3 linked regions of the Yarrowia lipolytica genome follow. The main gene of each other region encodes a partner of the protein of the gene in region 3 in a complex. Links are inferred from orthologs where the notes say so. Each region holds a gene or a part of one and is shown on either strand. Other genes may lie near its edges.

Region 1 (10,485 bases), on a different chromosome or scaffold from region 3:
ACGAGCGAGGAGGTCTGATCAGGCCCGGAGAAGACCTGTCCCAGCGAGGAGTAATGGAGTACCTCAAGGACATTGTCTACGTCACCTGGATCTGCAAGTTTGTGTCCGCCGTGCTCGCCTCCAACTGGGGCTTTGCTCTGTACATCATGATCCCCCTGTACGCCGTCGTCAAGGCCTACACTCTTTACTCCGAGAACAGACCCAAACATTCCGGTTCCTCAGGCTCCACAGCCAACGAAGGCTTGATCCCCAAGTCCAAGCGACAAGAGAAGATGGAGCGACGAGGCGGCCAGAAGGTCACTTACCGGTCGTAATCGATTCGATTGCCCCACCTCTCTCTGCTCTCATCTCGCTACTACCACACTAATTCCAACCTGAGGCATTTACCGTACACGTTGTACATTGCCGGGTTTCAAAATGCTAGCCAATGTATTATATTTGTTGAGCACAACCACTGTCTGGGCACAGTAAAGGTTGTGGTTCCTAACCGTACGTTGTACAGTAACATACTCTTCTCACGATATCTGCTTACACGTATCTATGTACTGTATCGTAAACCGAAGTGTTATCCATCGCTCAATCGCATTCTCCCGTGTCATTACCATCACTAATGGTACACATCGCTTCGTATAACCTCCCCGCAACATTTTTGGTTATTTCCGAACTACACTTGCCATGAATATGTCACTACTGTCATCAACCAACGCTTTTACGGAGCAGATATATCTAAGAGTCCTCCAAGTCGACTTCATTCGATGAAGCCACATCCGCACAACCATAGTAACATTGTTGCAAGATCTGTCTCAGTTGGGTTAGAGTATCGCCGTAATATACTACTTTACAGTATCAATTACTTGCCATACACGGCTAATTAATCATCTAATATAATCTTGAGTAGCTATATGCATGAATCTATGGGGATCATGATCTGGGTGTTGGATGCAGCGGTGGCACGAGTCTATCTCGTTGGTTTATGGGGCTATTCTCAGTTGGCAATTGGTCGTTAGTGCTACCTGGGGGCTGAGTTGACACCCTGCTCCAACGTATTCAAGGCCTGCTCATAGTAAATCGGGGAGTGATCAAATACACCTTTCCCAAGAACAAGCTCCCCAAACCGCCGCTCCACATCCAACACAACCTTGCCAACCACGCGATTGGCCTTCTTGGTTCGGCCCTGGTGAACTTCTAGCAACACATTGGTAGAAATATGGATCACTCGTCCAGGAGGAACAAGCTTCTCATTCTGCATCAGGCCCCGCAGTGTCTTGGCCAAGGTCAACAGATAGTCATCCTGCCGATACATGTACGGCACTCTGCTGGTGGCCAGCTGGGCAAACAGCCGCTTCTTGGTCTCGCCCACAACCCCGCGCTTCTCATCGCGAAATGCAAGAGCTATGGCTTGGAAGTCCTGGAGCATGCCAAGAGACAAGCTGGGCACAATGTCGCAGCCGTACACCACCGAGGTGATGAGTCGCTCGGTCATGATTCGCAGCTGCTCTGAAATGGTAGGGGGACAGCCGTATGTGAAACAATGAACCCGTCTACCAGGGGGCAGCATGGACTGCTCGGAGGTGACAAAATCATCTATCTCGGTGTCGTATACTGTTAGAAGAATGCTTAGTAGTGCTCCAACGCCTCCACCAAGAGAATGGCCACAGATTATGAGACCATACTCGGGGCCCATTCCGTCCATGGCGGTTTTGATGGTTTTCAGAACACGGCTGTTCTTGCGAATCATGCTACGGGCACATCTCAAAATGCCGTGGTGGGCCTTGTATGACGAACCGTGGATCTCAAAGTTCTCATACTCGCACGCCAGATCGGTGAGCACGTCATCTAGACCCCAGGTTCCTCTGATTGTCAGAACGACCGCTTTGGGATCGTGGTCCACAACAATGAAATGATCCAACAGAATGCCACTGGAAGTATCCACCACCTTGTCGCTATAGCTGGATAACAAAATCTGATCGAGACTGACCCCAGCATGATGAGCAAACGCATAATGCTCGGAATGATGGGCTCCAGTGGTGCTGAAAGGCACATCGAACCGTCCAATACCCAAAAGTCTCATGAATGACTGCCCATAAGAGGCACTGGAGAACCGCACGTACCGAGCCAGGTTCTTGGTGAGGTGTCCTGGAGGGTACACTTCGTATTCGCCTGTTCGAGGGACCAGATTCTCGATTCCCATTTCGGAAACAGACCGGGACGAGATCCGTTGGGTCTGGATCGACTCTTTGATATTGTCATCTTCTCTAAACGTTTCATCAGGCGTCTTGATGACAGCGTCAGTCACGTGGTCGCATTCGTGGGGCTCTAGTCGAGCAATACCTTTTCTCTCCCGGAAGGTCTTTTCGCTCTTCTCAAACTTGAGCTCATACCTGATGTTGTTATCATCCAGTCGCTGCCACTTTTCGTAGACGATGCGGGCATCTCGGGGCACGTCCATGTGTGGAGGCAGGCGTTTGGCCACTACTTCGATGGCCACCGACCGGATACTCTCCTCAGTGATTGTGAGAGAGTATCTGGCGTCAGGGGGAAGCAGTGCCACGGCCTGCTCTTCGTTGAAGCTATCTGTAGGGTCGGAGTCGGGAAGCTGCTGGGAGATGGTGACTCCAGTCTCGAGGACAACCACGTCCCAAAGCAGCTGGGTCTCCGCATCTTCAATGTTGTTCCAGGTTCGTGGATGGGCGACGGAGTAGCATACCATGGCTGACAACATTTCCCAGATGCCCACCTGCTGGCCCAGTTCGCGCCGCACCAAGCCTAGAATGTATCTGATTGCTCTGGAGGACTCTGAGTCCCCAAACACAGAGTCTATCACGTGGATCACGTCCTGGGTGGACGACGAGACCGTGTGAATCGACGTTGACGTGAAGTGGAACGAGATGGATGTGAACAGTTGCACTAGCGTGACTGTCTGCTGGGCTGTGTTTATTCCTAGCTCCGCCCAGCCCTCGGCCTTGGGGGTATCTTGGTTGGCCTTGGAAATGAGTCCTTCGATCGCCTTGACAGACAGAGCCAATGACGTCACGGTCGAGACCCGCGCAGACTCTACTGTGGTCTCTGCCGCATATGTGGCGAGCCGGATGCAAATGTTGGCGAACCCTGCTGCTGCTGAAACACAAGAGGCTGCTGCTCGAGGAAGCAGCGACTTGGCGTGAAGAATGCCCGGATGGGCATACATATCTTTCGAGCGGCGGCTGTGCATCGCTGGCGTTTCTGTGGCTCTTTTTTTGCGGGCTTTGTGGCCGTTGATGAGATAAGAAATGACGAGAGCCATGTCCAAAGTAGATGGAGTAACGACGGGTGTGGCCCTTCCAGTTAAGGTCGTGTCGTGTTTGTGTCTCTTTATATGCTTTGAGGTGACCCTTGAGCTACACTACACTACATACAGCACAAAGCGCTTGCAGTAAGGCAAATGGCACGTATATAAGTACAGTCTGACCCTTTGATGTGACCCTGACTGCGCTACCCTACATAGGATATAATGAGACGAGACACCAATTTCAGCCTGTGTGGTCCTCCTGTACAACCGGTGGGTGATCTCTCTCCCTCACTCATCTACTTTTTCTTTCCTCCTATAACTACCATTCTATCACCTATCACTCTCATGTCACAGCCACTACTGTATCAAACTACGCCCACCTACCACTAGTCCTCCACATGGCCATAGTGCATCATGTTCCCCACATACCGGATCAGAGTTGAAGCTCTCCTGGTAACCGTAATCCTGCCAACAGACAAGATTGGTTCTTTAGACATGTCTGACATAGTAGTATTGTATTGTCGATTATTTTTTTCGGTCACGTGCTCTCTCGTTGCTGCTGAGTTTGCCGCCTGACTTTCTGATCAATCGAACGCGTGTAGAGTAGAGTCTCCTGGCCTTCCCGTATCACCCAAACCTCCTGTCTCTCACATGCGTTATCAACGCAGCTTGTCAAAGCCATACGAAGGGTTCTATGGCCCCCTAATGCGGAGCGTAATAGCGAGGGTGGTGGAACGTTATGTCCAGGGGAGGGGAAGGTGATTTATCTGATTAGTCGCTGGGATATATGGGGTGATTTTATGCAACCGGATATGAGATATCTGGGTGATTTTTTGCGGTGCAAATATATACGAAAGGTAACAAGCAGTATTTTGGATTTTGGATTTTGAAATTTTGAGATTAAATTGTAAAAATTAGACACAACATCCAGAAGATAACACATCCAGAAAATAAAACATCCACAAAATAAAACAAGACATATTTGATGAATTGATCTCATAACACGCACCGATACAAATGTATTATAACCAGGCATAAGATGTTATCGCCATGAAACAATAATTCGGCGTCCTACACACGAGTTCCGGTGCTTGTACTTGTACCGTTTGTACATGCTACGGAGCTACTGTATGTATTACAACTATAGTATCTACACGGCGGCGTAATAAGATATGCCTTTGGACTGGACTTGGAGGCACTGCACAACAGCACCATCAACAACACTCACAACTAGCAATACTTCTATGAAAAGTACCAATAAAAATATACCATTCGAATCAAAATTCCCTTCCCATTCTTCTTACACAATCTCGATACAAAAGTTCGAAATTCCGCCGTGGTTCTTAGGACCACTTACTCACGGCAACTCCAAGACACGTACAAGGAGTAACCTGTGAAAGAAAGACATATTACTGTACTACAGTGCAGTACAAATAGAAAGCAATCCAACACCCGAATTTCCACCCGTCTCAACCCCTCCTAATTGCTCCATATCTCCTTACATACAGAAGCTTTGCTCTCACTGTATGTACAAGAGTGTACATAAGCATATGACATAATCATACCCGCCTCACCAACTAGCTCAAAAATGCACCAAAATCCTTGGTGTCTTGATGTGGAGCTCTAAAATATCGTCCATAGGGCCTGTGAAAATTCACAAGTCTTCTAGCACGCCTATATCAGCCGCCAGAGCCAACGCAATATCCTCCACATGAACCTCGGTACATGAAACTTTATTTCGCACCTCACTGATGTGATCTTCAAATATGAAAATGGCCACCATACACAGCAACCAGCGGCCCAATTGATGTAATTTGCCACCCTACGAATTCTTTACGAATTCCACCGGTACTTGCTCAGTTACTAGTACCAATCACGCAAATCAATTTGCTCATACGTGTTAGTATGAGTACAATTCATATAGTCATACAAGTTGGCACATGCACGCCCTACTACTGGTACTGTACTGTCGGAACCGTTCGGGTTCCTCCTCACTTTCAGAATGCCATTCATGCTATCTAAGCCACGCGTCTGCATGACGACGCGTGTATTATATTTTCACCTCCTTGTGTTAATAATCATGTCCTTCTAGCCACTCAGCTTAAACGAAAGCCATGGATCGCTTGATCTTGGCGATGGCCAGACCGGGGTTGAGACCCTTGGGGCAGGTTCGGGCGCAGTTCATAATGGTGTGGCATCGGTACAGAGACATGGAGTTCTCGAGCATCTGCTGTCGCTTGGCGGTGGCCTCGTCTCGAGAGTCAATCATCCATCGGTAGGCCTGCATGAGGACAGCGGGGCCCAGGTACTCCTGCTGGTTCCACCAGTACGAAGGGCACGAGGTGGAGCAGCAGGCGCACAGAATGCACTCGTAGAGACCGTCGAGCTTTCGTCGGTCAGCAATGGACTGCAGGTTCTCCTTACCGTCGGCAGGGACCTCGTCTCGCTGCAGGTAGGGCTCGATGGACTTGTATTGCTTGTAGAACTGGGTCAGGTCAGGGACAAGGTCTCGGACGACAAACATGTGAGGCAGAGGGTAGATCTTCTCCTCCTTGGCGATGTCGGGATTGATTCGGCACAAGCATGCGAGGGTGTTTCGGCCCTCAATGTTCATGGCACAGGAGCCACAGATGCCCTCTCGGCACGACCGTCGGAACGTCAGGGTGGGGTCCTGCTCGTTCTTGATCTTGATGAGCGCGTCCAGCACCATGGGGCCACACTGTGACAGGTCGACCTCGTACTCCTTGAGCTCGGGCTTCTTTTCGGGGGTGTCTGGGTTCCATCGGTAGATGCCAAACTTCTTGATTCGGGGGGCAGGCACCTTAGGGGCCTCGGCGGTGGAGGCCAGGCCTCGAGCGAACACGGGTCGGCTCTTCAGAACGTTTCTTGAGGCTCGGAGCGCGAACATTGTGTGATGGGTGGGTTAGTTGTGTGGAAGAGAAAAAACAAACTGGGGAAGAGAAGGGGACCAAGGCTAAACTATGTACTGCTGAATGCACACACGGCCGTCCATTTGGGAGCGCTTGAATCAGCAGAGTTGTGATTGGCTGAGCGGTGTTTAGGTTAAGGTTCGGGAGAAATCGGGCTGTCTGGGGAAGTGAAATGGGGAGGAGAAGGGTTCTTTGTGCTGGGCGATTGAGTGGACGAATGTGCAATACGAGCACGCCATACTTCTAAACATGCTTCGTTTTCCTTATATTTCTTTTCCGGCGCAAATTCGACCGCTTTTAGACCGCTTTGAACGCGCTCTGTTGTCCCCATTGTCCTCCAGACGTTATTTTACCTCCACGCACAAGCACACATTTGGCGCACTCTAAGTGGTTGTTCGGTCCCGACTCCCAATAACCCGGAACAAACACGTTACCCAGGAATACGAGTAGAGAATATGGAAGGATTCAAGGAGCTGCAAGACGGGTGGCCCGAGGACTGTCACGTGAGATGGAGAGACCAGGTGAGTTAACAGGTTATGAGCTTTGTGCTCCACAAGTCGTTTTTTCTACAAGTTCAGCCTCGTCGGCCAAAAGCCGCAACGTTTGCCACGCACCTCAGGTGTACGTCCGTCATGACCAACCTGTCGTACTCGCTCGTACCCAAGGCTAACTCAGAACCTCCAGATCACGAGAATAGGGCCTTCACACCAAACGGCCAAATATGACATTTTGTGGTCGCACATATACGTGTGTCCGGTGGTATATATGAGCTGTTATAGAGACAGCGAGCCCGTGACGTTACTGGCCGATTTTGTGGCGTTTATGGCGGAGTTTGGGGTGGTAATTACTCCTGACATTGCAATCACTCAAGGTGAGCATCCTCACACCGGTTTGCCCGTGTTTTTTCTGCATCCTTGTAAAACGAGGGAGACGGTAGATCTGGTGATGCAGGATGAGGAGATGCACAAGAGGAGTGAGGCGGAGGTGTGGTTGGAGAGTTATGGCCGAATCGTTGGTCTTCATCGACGAGCGCGATGATGAGATTCACCAGCGGTTTGAGATGACTGATCAAGGAGCTACGCTACAGTTGAATATCGGGGGTGATGGAACTGTGAGTCAGGGATTCACCCAGGCCGGGTCCAAGGGGTCTGTTCTGTTTGGTCATTCCTGTGTATTTGGTCTTGAACGTCTTCCAGGGCTTCGAACCTGGCCCTGGTGGTTCTGAGAGTGACTTTGGTCTATCAAGATAGAGCTCTGATGTCGAAAGCTCTGATGTCAAGAGATCTGATGTCCAATCGCCTGACACCTATGTTCTAGACATATGATACTTGATGCAAAACGTGTTCAGAGTCCAAGTATTTTACTCGTGCGGTTCTTCGAAAGGATTGCTTGCAGCACAGACTGGTTCTTCTGTTCTTCTGTTGGTTGACGGACAAACGCATTGCTCAGGTTCGTCAATCATGGTCTCGAACGTGAATCAGCAGACGAGTAGTTCAGTCGAGTACTGCTAGATATTGACAGGCTAGTTCTAGCTCTCCTGTGATTTGTCCTACCAAACCAAGTACACTTATCGTCTGTTACATCAACAGGAACTAGCTGTTAGAAGAGTTGCCGGTCTGCTTTCTAGAGACATTTCATTCTCGTCGTCAAGAACACCTTGATAGCTCCGACCAAGAGTCTCTTATGTTATTAATTGATTGATTGCTTCTATTACAGCATTCTGTCATTGTAGGAATCAGCTCTCGCCATTCTGTGCCTCTGCGATACCGACTACTGGTGGGCCACTGAACTGAGGTTGTAGTGGATAGTGCTTTGGAGAACATAACCGATCAACTACTCTTTCGATCCAGCATCTCATCCGTATTTGTTCATGACGTCATCCGGTGCCATGCACCTTTTCTATTATACAATAAATAATCCTCCCTGGTTTGAAATCATGACAAGCTCATAGTATGCCTGCCAACCGCTTCATCTCCCATGATCTGAAAGATGCAGATGCTTCTGCCGTTTCGACTGTCGCAAGAAGCTTGTATAGAGCAGGTTCGCGGCTTGTGACTTGCGATGTTTCACAAGTCGTCCACGAGTCACTGGCCCCCGAGGAGTCCAATGCTCACTGCGTTCGATTTGCCGCTACTCTGCCGTGACATCCTCAAAAGGTGCCAACGGAAGAACACTCTCTTCGAATGCGGGAGGTTCGGGAATGGTAAACGAGCCGTCCAACTTGGCAATGGCATGGGACTTGGATCGAGCATACTCAATTACCATCTCTTTGCCCATGAACTCGCTCTTCTGCAGCCCGTTGAGCGCCGAGATCGACGCATCGATATCGTTAAATACCACATGTGCCTGGCCCCGCATCCGCTCGTTTTTCATCGCCACAATGTCGAGAATGTGTCCGTACGAGCTGAATCGCATGTACAGGTACCGTTTGAGGTCCGATTTAGTGCATTTGTCGGTGAGGTTTTTCACGTAGAGCGTTGGCGATGGGGTGGGTTCGTCGCCATCGGTCTTGGACTTTTTCGCAGGCCGCTTGCTCTCCACAAGAGCCGATTCTCGTTTGGTCTTGCCCATGCTGATATGTTGATGGTGGTTAAAAAATCGTGCATGATATCAGAGTAATGGGTTAGGGTCGACATGATACAAGTCGCTTCAAGGGAAATGGTGAGGAGGCTTGTGGTCCACCATACGACCTATTCGGTATTAGTCGAGAGCTGTAAGTCATTTTTTGCGAGCTTTATTCTACCTGACTGCAAGAACCAATACTTGTATTTATCCGCCTTATATTTACACCATCTCCCCCTTCTACAAGTGATCACTCACCTTATGTAATCAAATGAGGGGTTATTAGGGATTCCTCTATATATATATATTATATATATATATGTGTGTGTATGTTGTATAAGTGTCCTATGTTGGTCCCTTGTATTCTCAACCCCCTTCCCTCAGCCTAAGTCGCCGTCCCGGTATTGTCTGTTCTATTATTTGCTTCACAAGCATCATCTCGCTAATTTCATACTGTATCGTGCATGCAGTCAACTCCCACCTGCATGTGCGTCACGGTACGATACCTGTCGCTACGTGTACCTAAGTTCCAGCACCACCAAAAACACCACAAAGCCCCCCAATTATGGCGACCATATCGAGCTCGCGAACACAAGTGCGACGGCTAGAGTCTCAGCTTGCAGAGCTGCTCTCGGAGTACTCCTCTTTTGCCACCTCTCACGCCATAGCAGCCTCCGAAGACGAGGTACGGATTGGACGGGATATCGAGCAGGTAATTGAGAAGACCGCCGACTCCCTGGAGTCGTTCGAACGTCTGCTGGATTCCACCCCTAACGCCACAGCAACACAAACAGGCCAGTTGCAACGCCACAGAGAGACTCTCGCAGAGCACAGATCGCAATACAAGAAGATCAACGCTGGAATCAAGCAGGAACGAGACCGGGCCAACTTGCTGTCGTCGGTGCGGTCGGATATCGAGGGACACAGAAACCGAAGTGCTACTCCCCAGGCCGAGGAGGAGTACATGTTACACGAGCGAGGCCGGGTGGACAACTCAAATAACATGACCGATACTCTGCTTGCTCAAGCGTATGCGACTCGAGAGGAGCTGCTGACCCAGCGGGCGAGTTTGGCCAACATCCAGCGTCGGCTGTTTAACACGGCTAGCAGCATTCCAGGCATTAACACGGTCATTTCCAAGATTAACACCCGGAAGAAGCGAGACAGTTTGATTCTGGCGGTTATTATCACCCTGGGTATTTTGTTCATTCTCTTCCTGAGATAGCAACAGTAAACTTCGAACAAACGGGTTATTTTGTTGTTTTTTTCTGGGAGCATCTTGGGACACAACGTTCAGAGCGAGGTCTCACAGGATATGTTACAGAAGAAGCCCACGGAATTGGCCCTGATGGAAGTTGCCTATGGACCAAGAAGTGAGCGCAACACAACAAATTGGCGCTCGCTAAGGGTGGCGCAAACAGTAACAGTAGCTGCTAGATTCATTAGGTATGCTCTCTGCTGCTAGAGTGAGGTGAAATAGATGAATGTATTTAACAGTAGACTAAGCGTCGCAGTAAGGCTTGTGCCTGTTGCGGTCATTGTATTACCCTAGTGTGTACAATGGGGGAACAGTCTAAGAAGGGGGCTACACTGACCCCTATGTACATTATTTATATATGGATTCATTTTACAGGTTGTTTTTTTTTTGTTGTTTTTTTTTTTTTTTTGGTATATATGTCGTGTGGTTTGCATGTGATGTGTGTGATGTTCATTGATGATTCATAT
Region 2 (10,558 bases), on a different chromosome or scaffold from region 3:
CCAACGTCGAATAGCTGGATGTCCTCAATTTGTAACAATAAGGTCCCAAAAATGGGTGTGAGTTTCCCTTCAGCTTTTCAGTTTCATGTTGACGTCTGACTTCTTCTCTCAGTTTTATCCTTCGCTGCTTTTTTTTTACTCCCTCCTGTGAAGTATATCCGAGTAGCTACTTGTGCCGGCATGAATATGCACAGTTAGCCGCACACTCAGCTTCATGCTGCATGGTCTTTGTCACTTCCCCACGATCTGCTGAACTTTGGCCGGGTTCTCGGAAAAGCAGTTGGAGCAGATGCAGAAGTTGCGCGTATTTAATGAAGTGGCCCGGCCACTGTAGATTCGGTATTATAACATACACTGAAATATACTGCCACGAACACCGACATGTCCTGCAAATCAGTGGAAAGCCAGTTGGTTGTGGCCAGCGGTTCAATCTCTGAGAAGGAAGAGCCCCTTGTGCAGAAGCTCCCTGAGCCCGATAGGGGCCGGGCTTGGATCGCCATGGTTGGAGGAGCTCTGGGTCTCTACTCATCATTTGGATACATCAACGTTGTGGGTCTTTTCGAGGCCTACTATCTGCATCATCAACTAGACGGCTACTCGGCATCGACCGTCTCGTGGATCACGTCTCTACAGTTCTTCATTCTGCTGGTTGGAGGAGTTTTCTTCGGAAGACTAGCTGAGATGTACGGGCCTCGGCCGGTGGCTATCGTCGGTATGCTCTTCACAGTGGGAGGAATCATGGCAACCTCTGAGTGCAAAACATACTACCAGTTCCTGCTGGCTCAGGGAATCTGCACGTCTATCGGAAACTCCTGTGTCTACTACGCATCAATGGTCGCGTGTAACACGTGGTTTGTCAAACGACGAGCTACCGCCCTGGGTGTGGTAGTTGGAGGTTCGTCGATTGGAGGTGTGACCCTGCCATTCGTCTTCTCTCAACTACAGCCTAAAATCGGATTTAATGACACTGTGAGAGTCATTGGATACATCATGCTTGGAGTGGGAGTCATCTGCTGTGTTTGCATCTCTTCTCGACTGCCTCCTAACAAGAAGTTACGAAAGAACTTCTTCAATTTCCGACAAGAGGTTATTGAACCCTACAAGAACAAGTCGTTCGCTATGATGACCGCGGCGCTGTTTGTTTCGTATTGGGGACTTGTCACAACCATGGGATACATGTCCACCCACGCTATTTCCCACGGCATGTCTGAAACAGTCTCCTTCTACCTCGTGGCAATCTACAACGGAGCCTCCTTTCTGGGTAGAATCTTGCCGGGTATAATGGCTGACAAGGTGGGTACTTACAACATGCATTCCGTATGCTGTGTTCTTTGTGGTATCATTCTTCTGGCTTTCTGGATCCCCTCCAACAGCAACGCGGCCTTCTTCACTTTCTCTGGAGTCTTCGGATTCATCTCTGGACCCTATATTGGTCTGTTTGCAGCTCTTGTGGCGGAAGTGTCCGAGCCACATGAAATTGGGAGGCGATTGGGTGTAGTCACCTTCTTCTGCTCCTGGGCAGCTCTTACTGCCATGCCTATTGCAGGAGCCACCCTGGACGAAGGACATACCAGCTTTGTCGGACTTCAGGTGTTTGCAGGAGTTACCATGATGGTAGGAGGATTCATGGTATTCGCAGCCAAGATGCTGGTCCCTGGACAGACATGGCTCTCCAAGTTCTAGCGTGGATGAAGGGCGAAGAAAACATGAATGAAGAGAAACGACAACTGGAAACTATAGAATCGCATTTAATATATGGAGTTTAGGGAATGATTGAGGCACAATTCCATCGTATACATTCACAACTATGGGAGATAGTTGAAATGGATAAAAAGGATAACAGAAGCTCAATACTGTAGTTGGTAGTGAAGTGACTTCGTCATTTTCACTTCTGCACGACTGTACTATTCTTGTTTTTTTTTCAGCATACTGTAATACCAACTTTCACTGTAAGTATTCGGTAAGTAAAGTGGTCAACTAATAAGGTTTGTCAAGTAACCGCTGTTCCTAGACTGCGAAGTCCGAGAACGGAGTCTGGACGAATACAACCGCACCGGTTATATTATCGACTCTTCTAAATTATTCTATTTGTTCCCTCCTACTCCAATTCCTTCACTCATCACCGCCAATATCAGTCCAAAAATAGCTCACTTATCACACGTATGCTAACTCTGTTGGTGGTGTGCATATACATCACCATCTCCTCAACACACCACACAAATGTCTCGATCGAACCAAGAAGCCCTGGCCGATTTCGTGGCCGACGCCCCTCCCGGAGAGGTGAGTATCAATTGTTGGCGGACGGATGTTGAGGATTCGTGCGCTGTCAGCACGGGCCTGATACGGAGTCTCCCCTGTATCAAGATGTACGGGTTATGTTGTCACGTCATTTACTTCGGTTGCTTGAACTTGAACTTGAAACGCGTGCCTTGATATCTTGCAGGCCGCTAATTAGATCCAATTGAACGTCTTTCTGTACCCCCATACTAACGCAGCTCAACCAGGTCGTTGAGGCCATCAGCACCGTCGTTGATGGAAACAGCTCGATTCTGTCCAAACTGGAAACCGACGTTCACAACAAGATTCTCGACCAATGCATGGTTGTGTCTCTCGGCAAGTCCAAGTCCCTGGTCTCTAAATATAACCAGCTTTCCAAGGACACCTTCTATGACAGCCAGAGTGGCCAGAAGTTCGAGTTCGATTTTGATACAAAGAAGGCCACCCCCTCGGGCTCCCATGGCTCTGACTCGCCCATCCAAGGGGCTCTCGATAAGTACTTTTCTGCCCACTTCCCCTCCGAGGGGGCTGCTGGGGTTTTTCCTCAGGATGACGGATCTATCGCCCTTGTGCTTGTGGATGGCAAGTATAACCCTGCCAACTACTGGAACGGAAAGTGGCGGTCTGTGTACATCTTCGAGAGTGGCTCTCTGAGCGGAACAATCGACGTGGATGTGCATTACTACGAGGACGGAAATGTCCGTCTCAAGTCCAGCGAGAAGGTGGACCTTGGTTCTGTGTCCGAATCTGACATTGTGGACGCCATCTCCAAAGCCGAGCAGCAGTTCCAGGAGAAGCTCAACAAGTCATTTAACGGTCTAAACGAGGATTCGTTTAAGGCCCTGCGACGACAGCTGCCCGTGACTCGATCTAAGATCAACTGGGGCAAATCCATCTCCAACTACCGGCTGGGTAAGGATATTAACGTTGGTGGAGGACGAGAGTAAGTAAACAGCGCTCTCTGTTTATATAGGATAAGGCTTTGCGTATTATGAGATCAGTACGTGGGTATCGGTACTGTGGTGTTACGATCAATCTTCTTAGTTATAAACACAGCGCCGAACGCGCTCATGGTACTACCAGTACTTCTACTCTCCTCATGCATTAAAAAAACTTGAACAGAAACCACAGCAGGAGAATGATGGCCAGAGCAATGCCAACAGTTCGCCAGATGGGGTGTCCGGCCTTGAGCGACCGTCCAAGCTTGGAAGCAGACCCTCGGACCGAGGTCATCATGTTTCCAACAGTGTCCGTCTGGGTTAGTAGGGTAAAAGAAGTGAGGTTTTGGACTGGGTGAAATGTCTAGGAAGGGTACAATCGCCCCGGTACTGCATTCCTTTGAGGTTCCCCTGCTCCACGATACAGGAAAAAGGAGTTGAAGCCAGCTGAGGACGTCCTAGACACATAATAATACCATAGATGAAACCAGCAGATCGAGAGAATGCCAGTATCCAAGTTCGTACTCTTAGATCACCCCTAAGTCAGAGGTGTTCGTAAAACAAGCCAATAGAACAAAGATAGTGAGACCAGACCCGCCAGATGAAGGCAGAGCTTCATTCAGATCAAGTATTCAAGCCGTTCGGATCATGAAATGTCGTGCTCGGTCTTCTTCAGCCTGCTGAGAAAACATACTTTATAATCTCGCGTGCCCGTGAGCATGTGATCCCTCCAGTTCAACAAGATAATCAACTACCATGGCACGTCGTGAATATGATCAGAATCAAGGAATCATCGCCACATCTTTTGGGTACTTCCTCGACTTCTAGCACCATTCTCCTCTCTCTATCACTCTCTCTGTGTGCGTCTCCGCATGACAACCTCATGGACCACCACTCTCCGTCATACTCACCGTGGAATCAATAAGCGAATAATCGCTAGCCTGAGCGTGGATGTCATTGGTGACAGACCGCAAAGACGAGATTTTCGACGCCAGCTCCTCGAGCCGAGTGTTGTTTTGCTCTTCTCGCTGGTATGCTGACATTGTGTGTGTGTTGTGTGTTAGGTTTCGGCATATACAGTTCGGGCGCTGCCAAAAGGAGCAGGCGATCGCAACAAGGTTAGTGCGGAATAAGCGGGGGGAGGCCAAATACGAACATGATAGTGTGAGACTTGTCTCGGTGATTACTCATCCGAGTGCAACTACTTTAGTCATCAATAATAGGGACGAATCCGAGGTTTTCGATTTAGGAAAGAAGCCTTAGTTTCGGAGGTCGCCAGTGCCACCTGTAGTACATTGTTAGCGCTGCAGAACATGCGCTTGGCGGAATTCTAAAGAGACATTTATCTGATGAGTGTGCATAATTGCCACCACACCATTAGATGGGAGGAGCCTGGGGTGGCAAAAACGGCGGTTTCGGATAGCGATCGAGGTTGGGATGGGAGTTTTGAGACCACCAAAGACGAATCCGCACCTGAATACGTTACATTTTCATCCACTAGCACCTGCTAAACGTCCCTCTATATGGCCCATGAGAGACGCATGCGCATCTGATAAAAAGCCAAGACTTTGCTATCCAATCACAGGGCGTGTCTACCCCCGTCCGTGGCTAGCCACCCCAATTCCAAACACAAAAAGAGTGTAAATTTTTCACCGGTCCGAGCCCTTGAAAACGTTTTTTTTCACTTTTTTGGAAATCATTTATAGGCGGCTGTCCCCAGTGATCTACAATTCTACCGTTTTGGCACACACTGAACACGACATTAGCAAGACGATACACCTTAGCGAGCGCCACGCGAAGCGACAGTGAATTTAAAACGTTTGAGCTGGATTTTGACGACAGCTCCATCTCACATCAGCTCATTTTCTTTGCTTTGATTACACACTATCATCACATTCTGTTGCTCACACCCGCTTAATTTCAGTTGGTCACGTGAACACAGCCACTTATCGAACCCTTTTAGCTATCTCCAGTAGACGCACAGGGACAACGCATAATACATCCACACTCACCACACTCACCACACCCACACAATGAGATTATTGACACGGCTACTGGTGCTCGTGGCGTCGCTGGCGTTATTTGCGCAGGCTGACGATGACCTCAGCACAAAAATCAGCTCCACCATCAACGAGTTTTCGGGACTCATTGTTGAGCACTACTATCTCACCAACGATATGACCAATGCGTCTCCCGACGACGCCGAGGTGGTGCTGTTGCGAACCTCCAAAAACGATCTCTATGTCACTTACAACCAGGGCAAGACCTTCAAGCAGGTGCTCAAGGGCGAGGACATCATTGCCATCTACCCCAACCCCCACTTCAAGAACCGAGTTTACTTTTTGACCCCCGACGAGAAGGTCTTTTTCACCATTGATAAGGGCGAGTCATTCAAGTCGTTCCGAACACCTGCTCCCCCGAACCAGCGAGGCCTGCAATTGATGACTTTTGACCGAAACAACAAGGACGCTTTCATCTGGACCGGATCCGAAGGCTGTGAAGACGAGCTGTCCCCTCGATGTAAGGTGGTCACTCACTACACCAACAACAACGGAGGCCGATGGACCGAGGTCGGCAACGGAGCCATCATGTGCCAGTACGTTAACGGACTCAAGGATCAGAAGCGAAACAACCTCATGTACTGTCTGTTTGAGTACAACGAGGGTGGCGTCAAGAAGTCCCGACTGGCTTATTCTACTGACAACTTCCGAAACCAAAGAGTGACCCACGAGAACGTGCTTGATTTCGCTCTTGCTGAGGAGTTCCTCGTTGTTGCCGTCATCAATGACGAGGACGAGACTCTCGAGTGCCAGACATCCGTGGACGGTGAGTCCTTTTCCGTGGCTCGATTCCCTCCGGACTTTAAGGTCCCCAAACAGCTGGCCTACACCGTTCTGCAATCTACCACCCACGCCATTTTCCTGCATGTTACCGTCAACGGAAAGGCCAACTCCGAGTACGGCGCCATTCTCAAGTCGAACTCCTACGGTACTTCGTTTATGCTTTCTCTCAATGAGGTTAACCGAAACCGAGTCGGCTTTGTCGACTTTGAGAAGATGGCTAACCTCGAGGGTGTGGCTGTCTCCAACATTGTCATCAATGCCCGACAGGCCTCCAGGGGTTCGCGAAAGCAGCTCAAGTCCATGATCACCCACAACGATGGTGGACAATGGGCATACCTGAACCCTCCCCCCGCTGACACTGAAGGCAAGGCTTACTCGTGTTCTGGACAGTCTCTGGAGAAGTGCTCTCTTAACTTGCACGGCTTCACCGAGCGAAAGGATTACCGAGATACTTACACGTCTGCCTCTGCTGTTGGTATGATGATCGGTGTCGGTAACGTCGGAGAGTACCTCGAGGGATACCTCGACGGAAACACTTACCTTACTGTCGATGGTGGTATCACTTGGAGGGAAATTAAAAAGGGAGCGTACATGTGGGAGTACGGAGACCAGGGTTCTATTCTGGTTATTGTTGACGGAGAGGAGCCCACCAACGAGGTATTCTTCTCTCTCGATGAGGGTGTCACCTGGAACCCCTACAGATTCTCTGAGGATCTTGTCAAGGTTGATGATATTTCCACCGTGCCCAACGATAACTCTCGACGATTCCTGCTTACTGGTAAGTCTCCCCGGTCTAAGGGAGAGCAGTCTACCACCGTTCACATTGACTTCTCTGGCCTCTCTGACCGACAGTGCAAGCTGGACGAGTCCAATCCTGACCGAGATGACTACGAGCTGTGGTCTCCCAGAAACCCCACTCAGCAGAGCAACTGTCTGTTTGGCCACGAGACTCAGTACTACCGAAAGCTGGTCGACTCCAAGTGCTACATTGGCAGACAGCTCATCCAACCACACAAGGTTGTCCAGGACTGTGAGTGCACTCGAGAGGACTTTGAGTGTGATTTCAACTACGTCCGAGACCGAGACGGAACTTGTAAGCTTGTCAAGGGTGCCAGTCCCCCTGATCACGCCCTCCAATGCAAGGAGAACCCCAACCTCGTTGAGTACTACGAGTCTACCGGCTACCGACGAATCCCCCTGTCCACTTGTAAGGGTGGCCAGGAGCTCGACAAGGCTGATGCAATTCCTTGCCCTGGTAAGAAGGGCGAGTTCAGCAAGAAGCATGGTGGTGGACTTGGTGTCATCGGCACATTCTTCGTCATTATTGTTCCTATTGCCATGGCTTGTGTCATTGGATTCATGATCTTCCAGCACTACCAGTCCAAGTTTGGTGTCATTCGACTGGGCGATGAGGACTCGTTTTCCTCCAGCTCCAGCAACCCTGTCGTCCAGCAGGCTCTTAAGGGCCTGGCTTACGTTGTTGCAGGTATCACCATGATCCCCGAGGCTCTCAAGGGCGTCGGCGAGTTCGCTCGAGGCATTTTCGGCCACTCTGGAAGTAGCAACCGACCGTGGTCAAGAGACTACGCACCTGTTGATATCAACGAGGACGACGAGCTGCTTGGAGATGACATTGAGAGCGATGCCGAAGAGGTTATCTAAGCTCCACATATGTATAAGATTAATGATTAATGAGGTGAGTATGTATTGTGTCGTGTAGCTCTAGAAGCAATCTACTACTCTTATGTGCGTGTACTTTCACCAGGATCGTTGAGACATCGCACAGTACAAGTAATTGTTACTTGTGTGTTTGTTTACATGTGCCGTGGTGATTGTGGTACATCTCAAAACTTTCGGAAATACCGAGTATATTCAACTTTTTTCGTCAGTAACTGTTGGTCAGTAGCAGACTTGTCGACATCGCTGTGTCGAGTCGCTGGAGGGGTCCGCTGTGATTTTCACTGGATCAAAGCGAGCCATTGCCTAATGGCCAACCAGAGTGAGAATTTGAGCAATGTTGATGCAGTGCTCTCTACTTCGCTGTAAGAATATTTCATCTCGGATTCATCCAAATCTCCACCCATTATCAATCTATGCATTAGTCTATTTCTTGGCTCTTCGTCGTCGCTGGGCAAGCTCTGGTAGCTTAAGCGGAGCCTTGAGCGAGGCAATCTTCCAGTGGCTAGCCTCGGTTCGAGGTCGTCCGATATCATCCATGTGAGTCAGAGAGGCGTTCTTAATGGCGCATCCCACCTGTCTGCAAACGTCAGCAAGCTTGGAAGGCTTGATTCCAACCTCCTGCGACAGAATGGGAATGTCTACAACGTTGTTGTTGAGTCTCAGCACAAGAATAATGATAGTACACAGCAACATTGCCTCATTTCTGGAGTTGACCATGTAAGTGTGGTACCGTTGTGATTTGTGACCACCAGAAAGGGGAGTGGTGTACCGGTAGAGCATCTGGTCGATGAGGTACTCTGGGGGGTTGTTGAGTCTGGTTTTGATATCCTCCCGCTTCTTGACGTGACGATCTCGGTAGAATCCAATCAGCAGAGACAGATAATAGAGAAGAGAGGTCTTGTACATGGTCTCGTCGGTCTTGTCGGTGATCTTGTAGAGACTGTCTCGCACCATTTGTGAGGTTCGGTAAGGAAGCATGTCCACTCGCTTGCCGATATCCTGCTCGTCCAGAATGGCCTCGCTTCGAATGTACCCAGCCTCCTCGTCGGTGAGGTATCCCTCAACAGGATAGATCTCGTTGACATCCAGAGTCTCGAGGTTATGCTTAGGGATGGGTCGGGCATCATCCATTGCCATGGACACCTGCTCTTGAGTGGGTAGGTTGGCAGTGGCAGTAGCGACAGCCTCCACGACATCGTCCTCAAAGTCAACAAGCTCGTTGGAATCAATGTTGTTTCGGGCCAAACTGGCAAGGGTCTTCTTTGCCTTGAGAGTTCCAAACTCGTTACCCAGGTTGACTCGCTGTTCTCTGTAGGACTTCTGCTCGGTGTTCTCAGCGACTCTCTTGGCTAGTTGCTTGGACATGGCCTTCAGCTCAATGCTTTCGGCGGGGACCAGATCAGCCAAGCCCTTAGAGGAAATTACGGCAACGCAGTACTTCTCGTGGTCCACAGGCACACTGGTGTATCGCATTCGGGAGCTTTTTCCCTTGATGGAGGTCTCTCCATTGTCAGACACGGACGAGAACTTGGCGTCCTTAGGGATGGACAAATGACCGCAGTCAGAAAGAAACACCTTTCCATCGTCCTGAACCTTAGCGACCTTGATTTTCGTCAGCCGCTTGCTCGAAGCCTTTCTCTTTTTGTCGCTGGCCATGCTGGTGTGTATGTATCGTGGGTTTGAATAAAGATATTTTCGAGCACCAGATTTTTTCAGGCTTTGCAGATGAGCTGCAGGGTTAGGTTATTGTGCTGATAGAGGAATCGCGAAGACTGCGGATGTAGGACTTATTCAAGGAAAGCAGATTGTAAATGGTAACTATTTGACAATAGCATTGGACAACTGTATCATTTTCAATTCCTCTGATATTGTGATGATCTGGCTACACTATCTATAAATTTTGCCTCACAAAATTAGAGTTCACTATTAAGAAATTTATGTGGACCTCGACATCCCACTATGAACAATTACTGTGTATACAAGTTTTCAAGTCGTTCGACTTCAGTACATGTACGGGTCTTGACTGATTCCCGCCGTTCCAGTATTCTACCTCGAATTCGTCTTTGTCGTATAAAATATCTCTCGTGGCTCGTCCAAATGATGAAGTACGTGCTTAATAATCTCGCTACCTTCATGAATTACTGCAACAGTACAGTACAAGTACAAGTACTGTACTGTACTTGTATTGTATTATGTAATCCCGATTTTTCTGAATGGTCCTGCTCATTGTTTCCAGCCCCACTTTCATTGCCACTATTCTCAGCCCCTTATAGTACACTCTCACATTCGTACAAACCGGTACATACTCTACCAGACTTTGTATGTACGAATACAGTAGTACCTTGCACTTGTATGTATGTGTTCTCGTACTCGTATCGTAGGTCATGTGACATTCTCTGTGTGTGTGTCTTACTACATGCTATTACCCCCTCTCTACCGTACATGGCCCACCCACATATCTCCGTATAACAGGACAACGGACCGTGAAGCACCTGACACAGCTCATATGACACAGCTCATATCCCAGAAGAGGACTCCGTCCACAGGGTCATCGTGGGCATCGGCCCCCTTGTGGTTTCTTTGTCCTTCTTACAGTAGTGCCAATAATATCCCTACACATGTAACCTTGGTCTTCACGTTAGTGGTATGAAAGAATGAAAGCAAAAGCTGGGGAAATGTGGTAAAAAAATACTAGAACGAGTGACCTGTTTTTGGTGCTTGTAGAGTCGAAAATATTATACTTATCTTAATAGTCACGTTACGCGCGGCCGGCACACGTATCATATCTCCGTACATCTTTGTACATCTCTCAAGCGGGTA
Region 3 (10,178 bases):
TGTCTTCTTCCGCCCAGACCTCCATCGAGATCGACTCTCTCTACGAGGGTATTGACTTCTACACCTCCATCACCCGAGCCCGATTCGAGGAGCTCTGTCAGGATCTCTTCCGAGGTACTCTCGAGCCCGTCGAGAAGGTCCTCCGAGACTCCAAGATCGACAAGTCCGCCGTCAACGAGATCGTTCTTGTCGGTGGTTCCACTCGAATCCCCAAGGTCCAGAAGCTTGTCTCTGACTTCTTCAACGGTAAGGAGCCCAACCGATCCATCAACCCCGATGAGGCTGTTGCCTACGGTGCTGCCGTCCAGGCCGCTATCCTCTCCGGAGATACTTCTTCCTCCACTCAGGATCTTCTCCTTCTCGATGTTGCTCCTCTCTCTCTTGGTATTGAGACTGCCGGTGGTGTTATGACCAAGCTCATCCCCCGAAACTCCACCATCCCCACCAAGAAGTCCGAGACCTTCTCCACTTACGCTGACAACCAGCCCGGTGTCCTGATTCAGGTCTTCGAGGGTGAGCGAGCCCAGACCAAGGATAACAACATCCTTGGTAAGTTCGAGCTGTCCGGCATTCCCCCTGCTCCCCGAGGTGTCCCCCAGATTGAGGTCACCTTCGACGTCGACGCCAACGGTATCCTCAACGTTTCCGCTGTTGAGAAGGGTACCGGTAAGACTCAGCAGATCACTATCACCAACGATAAAGGCCGACTTTCCAAGGAGGATATTGAGCGAATGGTCAACGATGCTGAGAAGTACAAGGAGCAAGATGAGGCCGAGGCTGCTCGAATCGCCGCCAAGAATGGTCTCGAGTCCTACGCCTACTCTCTCAAGAACACCCTCTCCGAAGAGAAGTTCAAGGAGAAGGTTGACGAGGCTGACCGAGAGAAGCTCGAGAAGGCCATCAACGAGACCATTGAGTTCCTTGACTCTACCCAGTCTGGTGCTACTGAGGAGTACTCCGACAAGCAGAAGGAGCTTGAGGGTGTTGCCAACCCTATCCTCATGAAGTTCTACGGAGCCGAGGGTGGTGCTCCCGGCGGAATGCCTGGTGCCGGTGGCCCCGGTGGCTTCCCCGGTGCTGGTGCTGGAGGTGCTCCTCCTCCCGGCGCTGGCGGCGAGGGCCCCACTGTCGAGGAGGTCGACTAAGTATTTTAGTACCTTGTATTTATAGAAAATTGATTATTAGACAGACATTTGAACAGTATGTGCACTTTGTTGTAACAACATTCAGTACCAGGTGACAAGACGACCAGGGAACCCCTTTTTTACCCCAATTACTTGGAACACCAACTTTATACAGCAAAAAAAACACCTTTTCTTCCACTTCCTTCACAATTGCTCTGTAAATATACATTAAATATATGGTGTTTTGACAGTACTGTAACTATCTGTGTACTACAAGTAGCAGTGGCATGTTCCCCATATGCAGAGAGCCCCGAGGAATAGGCTACACGCATATCATGTCCCATGTCCTAAAGAGACAAGTGGAGGCCCAAGTGGAGGCCCATAGAGAGCTTGCGCTTCGCTGTTGGGGCACCATGTCAGACTGTGGGTAGTTGCTTCAGTTGCTTGGCATCTGATCACTGGCTAATTCTGAACAGCAACCTCCATGACCTCGACCTTGCACTTGCCCTTGACCTCAGCCAAAACAAACTCGTTCACGGGTCGGAACTGACCAGGATCAATGGAGCAGACCAGCTCGTCGTGGGTCTCCTCCTCGACTGTGGCTCCCATATCGGTCTTGAGCTTCTCTCCTAGCCCCAGCTTCTTGACATCGCCAGTCACTCGAATTCGCATACGAGCTCGAGCAATGGGAATGATCTGCTTCTCCACCAGCAGCTTGATGGCATCCATGGCCTGGATCTTGGCGGATTTCTTGGGCACAATGTTGAACTTGAGCTCTCCAATCAGAGCCTTCTCAATCATGGTTGCAGTATAAGGTCGCTTGGTCTTGGAGTTGACACATTTTTGCGACACAAGCTGGATGATCTCCGTTTGCAGCTGGTTGCTCTGCTGCTGTCGCTCCTTCTCTCCAAGCTGGAGTTCTCCGGTATTGAGAATCTCCAGAATGATCTTGTCCTGGTCAGTATGTCCAAAGGCGGCCTTCATGTCGTCTCGAGGCGCAGTTTGTCCCTTACCGACATTGACAAAGACTTGAGGGATCTGAAGAACCTCATCAAGGTCGGTTTCCACTCCCTTACGCCAGTCCTGGACCTTGTTTTGGTAACAAGCGATCTCGAATCGCTTTCGGCCCTTCTTGAGTCGCACAAGAGCCACGTTGGTCAGTTTGATCTGTCCGGATGGTTGCTGAATTCCGGCCATTGTGTATTGTGTGTGTTAACGAAAAAGTGTTAGTAAAAGCTTGGTGTTCGTCGGTAATTCCAGGCGGTTCGACCTTATATATATCGAAGCAGAATTTAATTGTTAATCGACAGGACTGCATGTAAGCTGCATAAACCCAGAATATTGACTATCGAGCAAAGATGAATCAAATGGGCGTCAGAGATTGAGTGTCAGTGCTTGTGTCGATATATATGTATACAATATTCTTAGATTGATTTCATACCAATTTCTTTGGCTCAGGTTCTTTCTCATACTAGCCGGTTCTACTCCACAAGTACTGGCACACTGTTTCTGTCCCAGCTTGCCTTTATCAGAGAACACGCTTCGACTGACCGATCGAGAGTCATGCAATGATATTAAATTTTATTCTAGTTCAGTTGTCCTCTGGTGCAATGATCACAAGTGTGGGCTATGGGCGCGGTAGCACCTGTGTTCCTAGGGGGGTGCTGTAGGTGCAGTAGGTGCTGTCGATCACAACTGATGAACGTGCTTACACTGTGTGTACCGGGTCGACTGTCATTTTATCAAGTACAGGACAGTACTTGTAGTTGTACCATAGTCAACCGCAGAAATAACAGCTCAGACTCGTCGTAAAGAGTCTGGTGATAGTCCCACTGCAGGCACACGAATCGACGGGTGTCACAAGGCTCTTTTTCAACCACTCCCACACCTCCACACAATCCAACACCCATAATCAATTACCAAACACGGCAAAGCTTGACTCCCTCAAGAACGTCGTCGTAGTCGTCCTGACTGACTCGGCCGATGGACACAAACACAGTTCGCACCTCTGTGGGCGAGTCCTTGACTACCTGGGACGCCACCTGGACAGCTATGATCTGACCCAATGTGTCAGCATTGGAGCCTCCAATTAGCGACATGGGAGTGAGATGAGTGAGTGGCAGATTGCTGATGTCTTCGCCTTCGTCGTCATATTCGGTATGTGCAAAGAACTGATTGCCTGGAGATAGTCTTAGGGGAACATAGTATGATCTAGTGTATGCTCCTTTGCTGTGGATATTGACGAAGATCTTGTCGTTGAATGCATAGGTGACAATGTCTAGATCTTTGATAGTCGTGTGTTTTGAAGGGATCATTGTATGAATGTTTCTTTTCTGTCAGATTGTGAATGTTACCTACTTGTAGCAAGATGTGTTCGTTGATAATGGACCAGAACTCTATTCACGAACTACAATTACGAGTAATGGCGCGAGGCATCTACCTGCTGTACTACTGTGAAGTAGTTTTGAAGGACCGAAGACCTACAGTTATGTTATTATAATAATAAAAAATAGAGACTATGGAGTAACAGACTATTCATAGTATTGTGCGAATGAGAAACTTCTTCTAACTCTGATCTATGTAATATTTCGAAATATAATCAACCAATCTGCCGAAATAGCCACGGTCAGTCTACAGTAAAATATACGGCATACTCACTCTTGAAGTGCTGCTTAATCAATACCACAAACACCACTATAGACATGTCACCCTGCTCTCCACCCATCACCCACTCCTTCTATGCCTCTGAGTCGGCCTCAGTTCATATCGACTATCGACACAACGCACTCATTTTTTTCATGCAGTAAGCAGGAATGAGGTGTTCTACAGTGGACACAGCAAACAAACTAAATAGCTCCGGAGAAATGATATTCTGACAATTGAAAAACATGACTCAAAAATATTGACGTGTCAAAACAACTACAATGTCTCATTTTTTTCAACGACTCTTATCGCCACCGAAATAATGACCACGAGGTGGGCTCAACGAAACCTTATTTGGCTAACATGGGAACCAAATCGTGTCTTTATTTTGCGTGTTCATGTGCATGAGGTTTGTGAAAGTCTAAGAACCTCAGCACCAACAAACAGCAATGACCTCAAGGTGAGTACCTATTGCGATGAAGGCTCTCTTCCGTGCACAGCAACTAACTCAGACATCAACTCTTTGCCTCCTCGGCACAATACGGATCACCAGCCTCCAGCCAGGCTTCTTCTCGAATCAACACCCCTCAACCTCCACAGCCGTACGCCGGGTCGTCTTCGTCCTTTGGAGAGGCCAAGCCCTACGTTCCCGAGCAGGAGGAGTACGATCCTAAAAGCCACAAGCAGTACTCGACGTCGATGCTGTCGCAGTTGGAGTCCCAGAACGACGAGCAAATGGAGGGTCTGTCTGCTAAGGTGCAGCTGCTGAAGGACGTGACCAGCAAGATCGGAGTGGAGATCCGGGACTCCAGCCACCTGCTCAACAACCTGGAGGACACTTTTGAAAATGCATCCACGAAACTCAAGGGCACCTTCAAGCGAATGATGATCATGGCCGACAACAGCGGTATTGGCTGGAGAGTCTGGCTCGGTCTCTTCGCCTTCATTTTCCTGTGTTTCTTCTTTGTTTGGGTGAGATGATTGTGGAGGACTGCTTTCTGGTTGGGCCAGCCAGTATTTAGGACTTATTTATGTATTGATAGACTGCACTGTATGTATACAACGAGACACTGTATCGTATTGATTTCTACACATTATAACTTATCTGAATGGTCGCTACCACTCACAAGACTTCGCCAGAATCAAGGCAATCTTCTCCAGTCCCTGCTGGTCCACCTCGTCGAATCCCTCTAGACTGGCACAGTCAATATCAATGACACCGAAGAGCTTACCGTTCAACACAATGGGAACTACAATCTCGCTCTTGGTGACTCCGTCGCATGCAATGTGCCCGGGAAACTCCTCCACATTCTTGACCAGTTGGGTCTTCTGCTCCTTGGCAGCAACTCCACACACTCCCTTGCCCAGAGGGATCTCCTGACATGCAACCTGACCATGGAAAGGTCCCAAAATCAGCTGTTCAGACTTCTTAGGATCAATCACGTAGAAGCCGGCCCAGTTGATGTCGCTGGATGGCTCGGGGAGCGATTTGAGACCGTGCCAGATGATCGACGAGGCATTGGAAAGATTAGCCACCCAATTGGTCTGACCATCAACTAGAGCTTCCACATTGGAGGCCATGGTGTCGTACAATTCGGACTTTGATTCCGACGAGAATCGAGAGTAATCGGCATGGACCATTGTGTGTAATTCAGAAGGTGAATGTTGTATGTGTATGTGTAAGAACAATGACGTTTGTCAAAGTCGGTATGAACGATGGTGTGCGCGTTTGGGTGGAGAAATAAGAGAGCCTAGAGGCAGCTAATACTGTACCTGTAGTTCAAGTCAACTTACCTTACTTGTACTTTCGGCTTTCCCAACGGCTAATTGCTTGATGTGGAGTGTTCTTGGAGGGATGGAGAAATGGGGAGAAGTAGAAAACAAGCTACAGGTACTTGTACTAAATGTTTCAACATATTGGAGCCTTTTCGTAATATAAACCCAGCCACTCTCACATCCATGACTGTAGAAACGCGTCGAATGTTGAAGTGAATAGTAGCGGAGCAATGCACATGGCAGACGCATACAAAACTTCCCTATTATTTGTAGTGGCCCCCGCAAAGGCTCACAGCACCACCTAAGCGAAATGACATGTCTACTTCATACATTATTCTTCTTGTTCTTGGCATCTAATATACGAATATAGAGATCGATAACCGACACTAAGCTACATTGTAGATCAGGTAGTAACCGCTACAATTAGCTTATCGCAATACCCAAAATTGAGACACATCCCCAATTGTTACCTGTAATAGGTTTCCTCTCACACAACGTGCAACGGTTTTTGCGGAGCGGCTATTCCGACGGCAAAATACCTTTAAATAATAATGATACAATAAATTAAGTATATTCTGTTAATCACCTTCGCTCGCCATATCTACCGTACTCCTGTTCCCACAGAAGCAGCTTGCGAGTTAGTCCATCCATCATATCTGCAGAGGTGGAGCTAAGCACCACCTGATCTCCAATCTTGTTCTGGTCACTGGCCATGTCCATCTGTGTGCGGCCAATAAATTCCAGTATCGCAGCTACCCGTCGTCGCATCTCGCTCATTGTAGTTCGTGAATGAGGTACCCGTGGCTTGGATGGCCGCTCGTCATTGTATTCGGGTGTCTCCTTCGGCTTCGGCGAGTTGGCTGCTCCTCCAGCACCCACCGACGTCTTTGTCTTGCGCTTTTTCCGGGCCTTGGCCACAGGCGAGTCCATCGAGTCGCTGCCGTCCATATCCGACTTTGCCTGGAGTTCCTGTTCGCGTTTCCGCTTCGGCGTTTCCGACGTTCCCGAGGCTGCTGCTGACCCGTTGGTTGTTCCATTTGTTGCAGCTGCTGCTCCAGAAGCAGTGCCAGTAGTCTCAGGCGATGACTTTTTGCTACTGCTGCTGTTGTTGGCTGTGGCGTTATTGTTGTTGGTCGTAGAGTTCTTGCTCGTTGTGGTTTCCTCTTTGACCTCCTTGTCCTTGCCTGCTTCGCGGGCGCTCTCCTGAAGCACCCGCTTGAGAGTCTCCTCATATGTGTCTCTGTTGCGACGTCGCGACGAGGTGGTTATCTCACGACGAGAGCTCGAATTGCGTCTGCTGCGAGTTGAGTCACGGCCTGCCTCGCCAGTTGCGTCAGAGATGTCTTCAGAGCCATCATCAGCAGAGCCAGCGGCAGAAGCAGCAGAATCGGGACGTCGACTTCTACCCGTACCTCGCTTTCCTCCCTGCTCGGGGGTGGACCCGGACTGTTGTCTGGGGCCACTAGCAGCTGCAGGCTCCTCTCCATTGCTTCGGGGAGGGTCGCGGGCAGACTCGCGTGTTGCACCAGTGCCGCTGTCTGAGGCTGTCGAAGAAGACGCTCGGCTGCTGCGCTGACGCTTTGGCGGGAGGAGCTCTTCTTCTTTGACCGAAGCCCGGCTACCATTGCCTTCATCGTTGCCATCCTCGTTTTCTTCGTCTTCATCGTCGTCGGCAGACTTGTTGTAGATGGACGTCTGGCCGCTTGGCCGTAGGAAAATCTGATGGAGGTCGGGTCGGCATTTCTCACAGTAATAGACATCGGGAACTTCAGACTCCTGGTACATGCCCACACAGTAGCCATGCTGCCACACAGAGCAAGAATCACACTGGATAAACAGACCCTGATCAATTTCCAGAGCCTTGGCAGCCCGGTCCAGATGCAACTCTTCGTGGCCACAAATGCACCGTGTAACCTCCTCGGACTCCACCAGTCCATCCGAGTCCTCGACCTCCTCATCCTCTTCAGGTACGGCTGCTGCTTTGTCGGCGGCCCGTGACTTGCGCTTTTTGCCTTCGCTGTCACTGGACGCTTCCACCGTGTCGTCATCAAAATTGCGTCTCGAGCGTCGAGCGGACATTGTGTTTGGTTGTTGCTGGTGTAAAAGATGTGTACTGGACGAATTTGGCCGGGGAGTCCAGCCATGCATATTCTTGTTATTAGGGTTTGATTATTAAGCAACATGTACCGTTTAGGATGGTCATTAAGGATAAGAGTGTGATGTTTTAAAATGTGGAATGACGAAGGGAAACGCGTTTCCTGATGTACAAATGCAACAAACGAGCACACCAGTTCAAAGGGGAAAAAAATGTCTCTCTTTCTTGAATACCAAATAAATAATGCAACTATGTAGCGATGTAGACCTATGTACATTTACGTCTCCTCCTCCTCTGTGTCAGCCCCGTAAACAGATCTCTCAATAATCCAGGTGGACAGAATGTACAAGTGGTTGATACCACATCTAACCACGGTATCAACAGCAATAGCGCCGCAGAGATCTGGGAAATCAATCTGCAGGTCATCCCCAAAAGATTTGCCGACAGCAAACCGGAAAAAGAAGAAACCAAACAGATTGGAAGTCATGCATCTCATGATGAAGGATGATCGAAGGAAGTTCTCATATAAAACCGCAAATGGAGGCATATGATGGGCCACTTCGGGTCCCATTTGTCCGTGAGACTTGTTGATTTCAGCCAGATGCGTTCGACCCACCAGACCAAGAAAGTAGTTGGATACATGCCAGACGGCCATGACTCCGACATTGGGTAGAGCTGGAGTCCAGGGGTTGTAGAAATTCTGCAGCCAGGCAATAGACGGGCCCCAGGGCGAGTTGTTGGGGGTGTCGACGTTGTTGTACACCCCCAAAATCTGCATGGAGGAGTAGTAGAAGAAGGGGAATGACATGATGCAGGCCGTGAAGTGTTTCAGGGCAAAGGGGATGATTTCAGCCATTGTGTGGTTGCCCTTGAGCACGCTTATGATGTTGATTTTGTGTTCGCTTTTGACCATGGTCCCGTTCTCCCACGTATACGAGCCTGCGTCCGGTTGGTCTGAGATAGCTTCCTCCACCATACTCTGCGCCAGGGAAGCCATGAATCCGGGGAACGGATTGCCGCTGTGGATAGTTCCCTTCAGTAGTTGCCAGTATGTTTGTCCTCCGGATCTGCCAATTGTGTGGTATCTAGCCCAAGATACCTCCAGGGGCCACATGCCCATCATCTCTATACCTCTAACAATCCCCTCAGGGATAATACCGAGTTCCCAGGCTCGCATCCACTTGTCGACATAGTCGTTTGATTCGGCAGGATCAAGCAGAGCGTCCAGATCAGCGGCTGAAGTAGGAGGAGGTACAATCTTCTCGGCCTCCAGGGAAGACCGTCCATAGCTGTTGAGAATCTTGTGTTTGGCGTTGAGCAATTCGTGGTTGAGAGCAAGAGATTCTGTTTCTGTATTCTCATTGGTGGCAAAACTAGGCCCCAGCAGGAACCGCAGTAGCCTTTTCGTGATCATTTGTGGTGTGTGTTAGTATGTTCACGTATTGTACGAACAGGTATCCACAGTTGACAATATGCACCACACGCCTTATGGAACTCTATTGTGTTGATTGAAATGAATTATACAGAAGTGGCAGACACAAAAAAGAAATATAGAAGTGAAATGAGCAAAAAGAAACATGCAGTCTTATGTCTCAATGCCTCTAAAACATTGGCTTTGGGGTTCACTTATACGAGGGATTCTGTTCAGTATGAAACCTTCCACAAACATGCTTACAGCAATACTGCAGATGGAGAAGCTGCAACTCTTTATAATTGTATACAACTGTTCCGTCAAATACAACCAAGTGATACCACTCTTACTCATTACAGCCCTCAGTTGTACTGTCAATCTAAAATTTATTGTATAGGTTTATGCGCTTATTCTCGAGAGATATCACGGCCGAAGACTCGGACCTTCATCCAATCAATGCAAACAAGAATCTTGTTTCGCATGGAGAAGCACATGGACACGTAGGCGGATCGCCAGAAGTAGTAGGTCATGGTTCCTCCGGAAGACCAGTTCATGATACCCCAGAAGTTGAAGGACAGGTCGGCAACGGCTCGGTCGGAACCAATGTAGGCCAGAGAACCCTGGTGAGAGTACTCGAAGGGCAGCATGGCTCTGGATCGTCGCAGCTTTCGGGACTTGGACTCGAGTTGAGCAAAGATGTTCTTTCGCTCCTGCTCGTCAAAGGTGTGCTCCGACTGCTTCTCGAGGTTGGTGATCTCGTTGTTGAGGTCCTCGGTCTTAGCAATGCCGTTGAGCAGGTTAGCAAGGTAGGATCCCTCCTGGGAGGCAACCTGGGCAGTGGGTGCGTACTTGGTGGCAGAACAGTCACCAAGAGCCCAGATGCCCTCGGTACCCTCAACAACAAGGTACTCGTTGACAAGAAGACCTCGTCGGGAGCCCTTCTGAGCAGGGATCTTGGACATGAGCTCTCGAACAACAGGTCGCACAGTGTTACCGGTGGCCCACACAAGAGTTCCGTAAGGCATCTCAAGGGTCTCCTTAGTACCGTCACCCTTGGTCTGCTCGGCTCGGATCACATTCTCGTCAACAGACTTAACCATGGTCTTGGTCAGAATGGAGATCTTCTCGT

What was found.
Region 1: YALI1_F32546g (region 3) and YALI1_D30224g share a complex: the UniProt entries of both Schizosaccharomyces pombe proteins name them as parts of the SNARE complex. The link is inferred for Yarrowia lipolytica from reciprocal best matches to the Schizosaccharomyces pombe genes bet1 and gos1.
Region 2: YALI1_F32546g (region 3) and YALI1_E06119g share a complex: the UniProt entries of both Schizosaccharomyces pombe proteins name them as parts of the SNARE complex. The link is inferred for Yarrowia lipolytica from reciprocal best matches to the Schizosaccharomyces pombe genes bet1 and sft1.

The regions. Positions count from the first base shown.
Region 1 is NC_090773.1:3,021,228-3,031,712, reverse strand, and holds YALI1_D30224g (uncharacterized protein), read left to right. Parts: upstream 1-9,325; coding exon 9,326-9,985; downstream 9,986-10,485. Other genes in the region: YALI1_D30319g (uncharacterized protein), read left to right, coding at 1-314; YALI1_D30285g (uncharacterized protein), read right to left, coding at 1,010-3,283; YALI1_D30256g (uncharacterized protein), read right to left, coding at 5,370-6,176; YALI1_D30249g (uncharacterized protein), read left to right, coding at 6,654-6,719, 6,874-7,236; YALI1_D30241g (uncharacterized protein), read right to left, coding at 7,280-7,465, 7,518-7,640; YALI1_D30230g (uncharacterized protein), read right to left, coding at 8,329-8,769. UniProt on the Schizosaccharomyces pombe protein: Nonessential SNARE involved in retrograde transport within the Golgi complex.
Region 2 is NC_090774.1:605,678-616,235, reverse strand, and holds YALI1_E06119g (uncharacterized protein), read right to left. Parts: upstream 4,259-10,558; coding exon 4,127-4,258; intron 3,532-4,126; coding exon 3,382-3,531; downstream 1-3,381. Other genes in the region: YALI1_E06158g (uncharacterized protein), read left to right, coding at 382-1,683; YALI1_E06137g (uncharacterized protein), read left to right, coding at 2,221-2,280, 2,496-3,224; YALI1_E06109g (uncharacterized protein), read left to right, coding at 5,249-7,720; YALI1_E06068g (uncharacterized protein), read right to left, coding at 8,162-9,394; YALI1_E06065g (uncharacterized protein), read left to right, coding at 9,698-10,207. UniProt on the Schizosaccharomyces pombe protein: Vesicle SNARE required for retrograde transport within the Golgi complex.
Region 3 is NC_090775.1:3,248,725-3,258,902, reverse strand, and holds YALI1_F32546g (uncharacterized protein), read left to right. Parts: upstream 1-4,216; coding exon 4,217-4,227; intron 4,228-4,279; coding exon 4,280-4,748; downstream 4,749-10,178. Other genes in the region: YALI1_F32597g (uncharacterized protein), read left to right, coding at 1-1,145; YALI1_F32565g (uncharacterized protein), read right to left, coding at 1,587-2,321; YALI1_F32554g (uncharacterized protein), read right to left, coding at 3,041-3,439; YALI1_F32534g (uncharacterized protein), read right to left, coding at 4,884-5,408; YALI1_F32512g (uncharacterized protein), read right to left, coding at 6,126-7,691; YALI1_F32498g (uncharacterized protein), read right to left, coding at 7,916-9,052; YALI1_F32476g (uncharacterized protein), read right to left, coding at 9,457-10,178. UniProt on the Schizosaccharomyces pombe protein: SNARE required for targeting and fusion of ER-derived transport vesicles with the Golgi complex.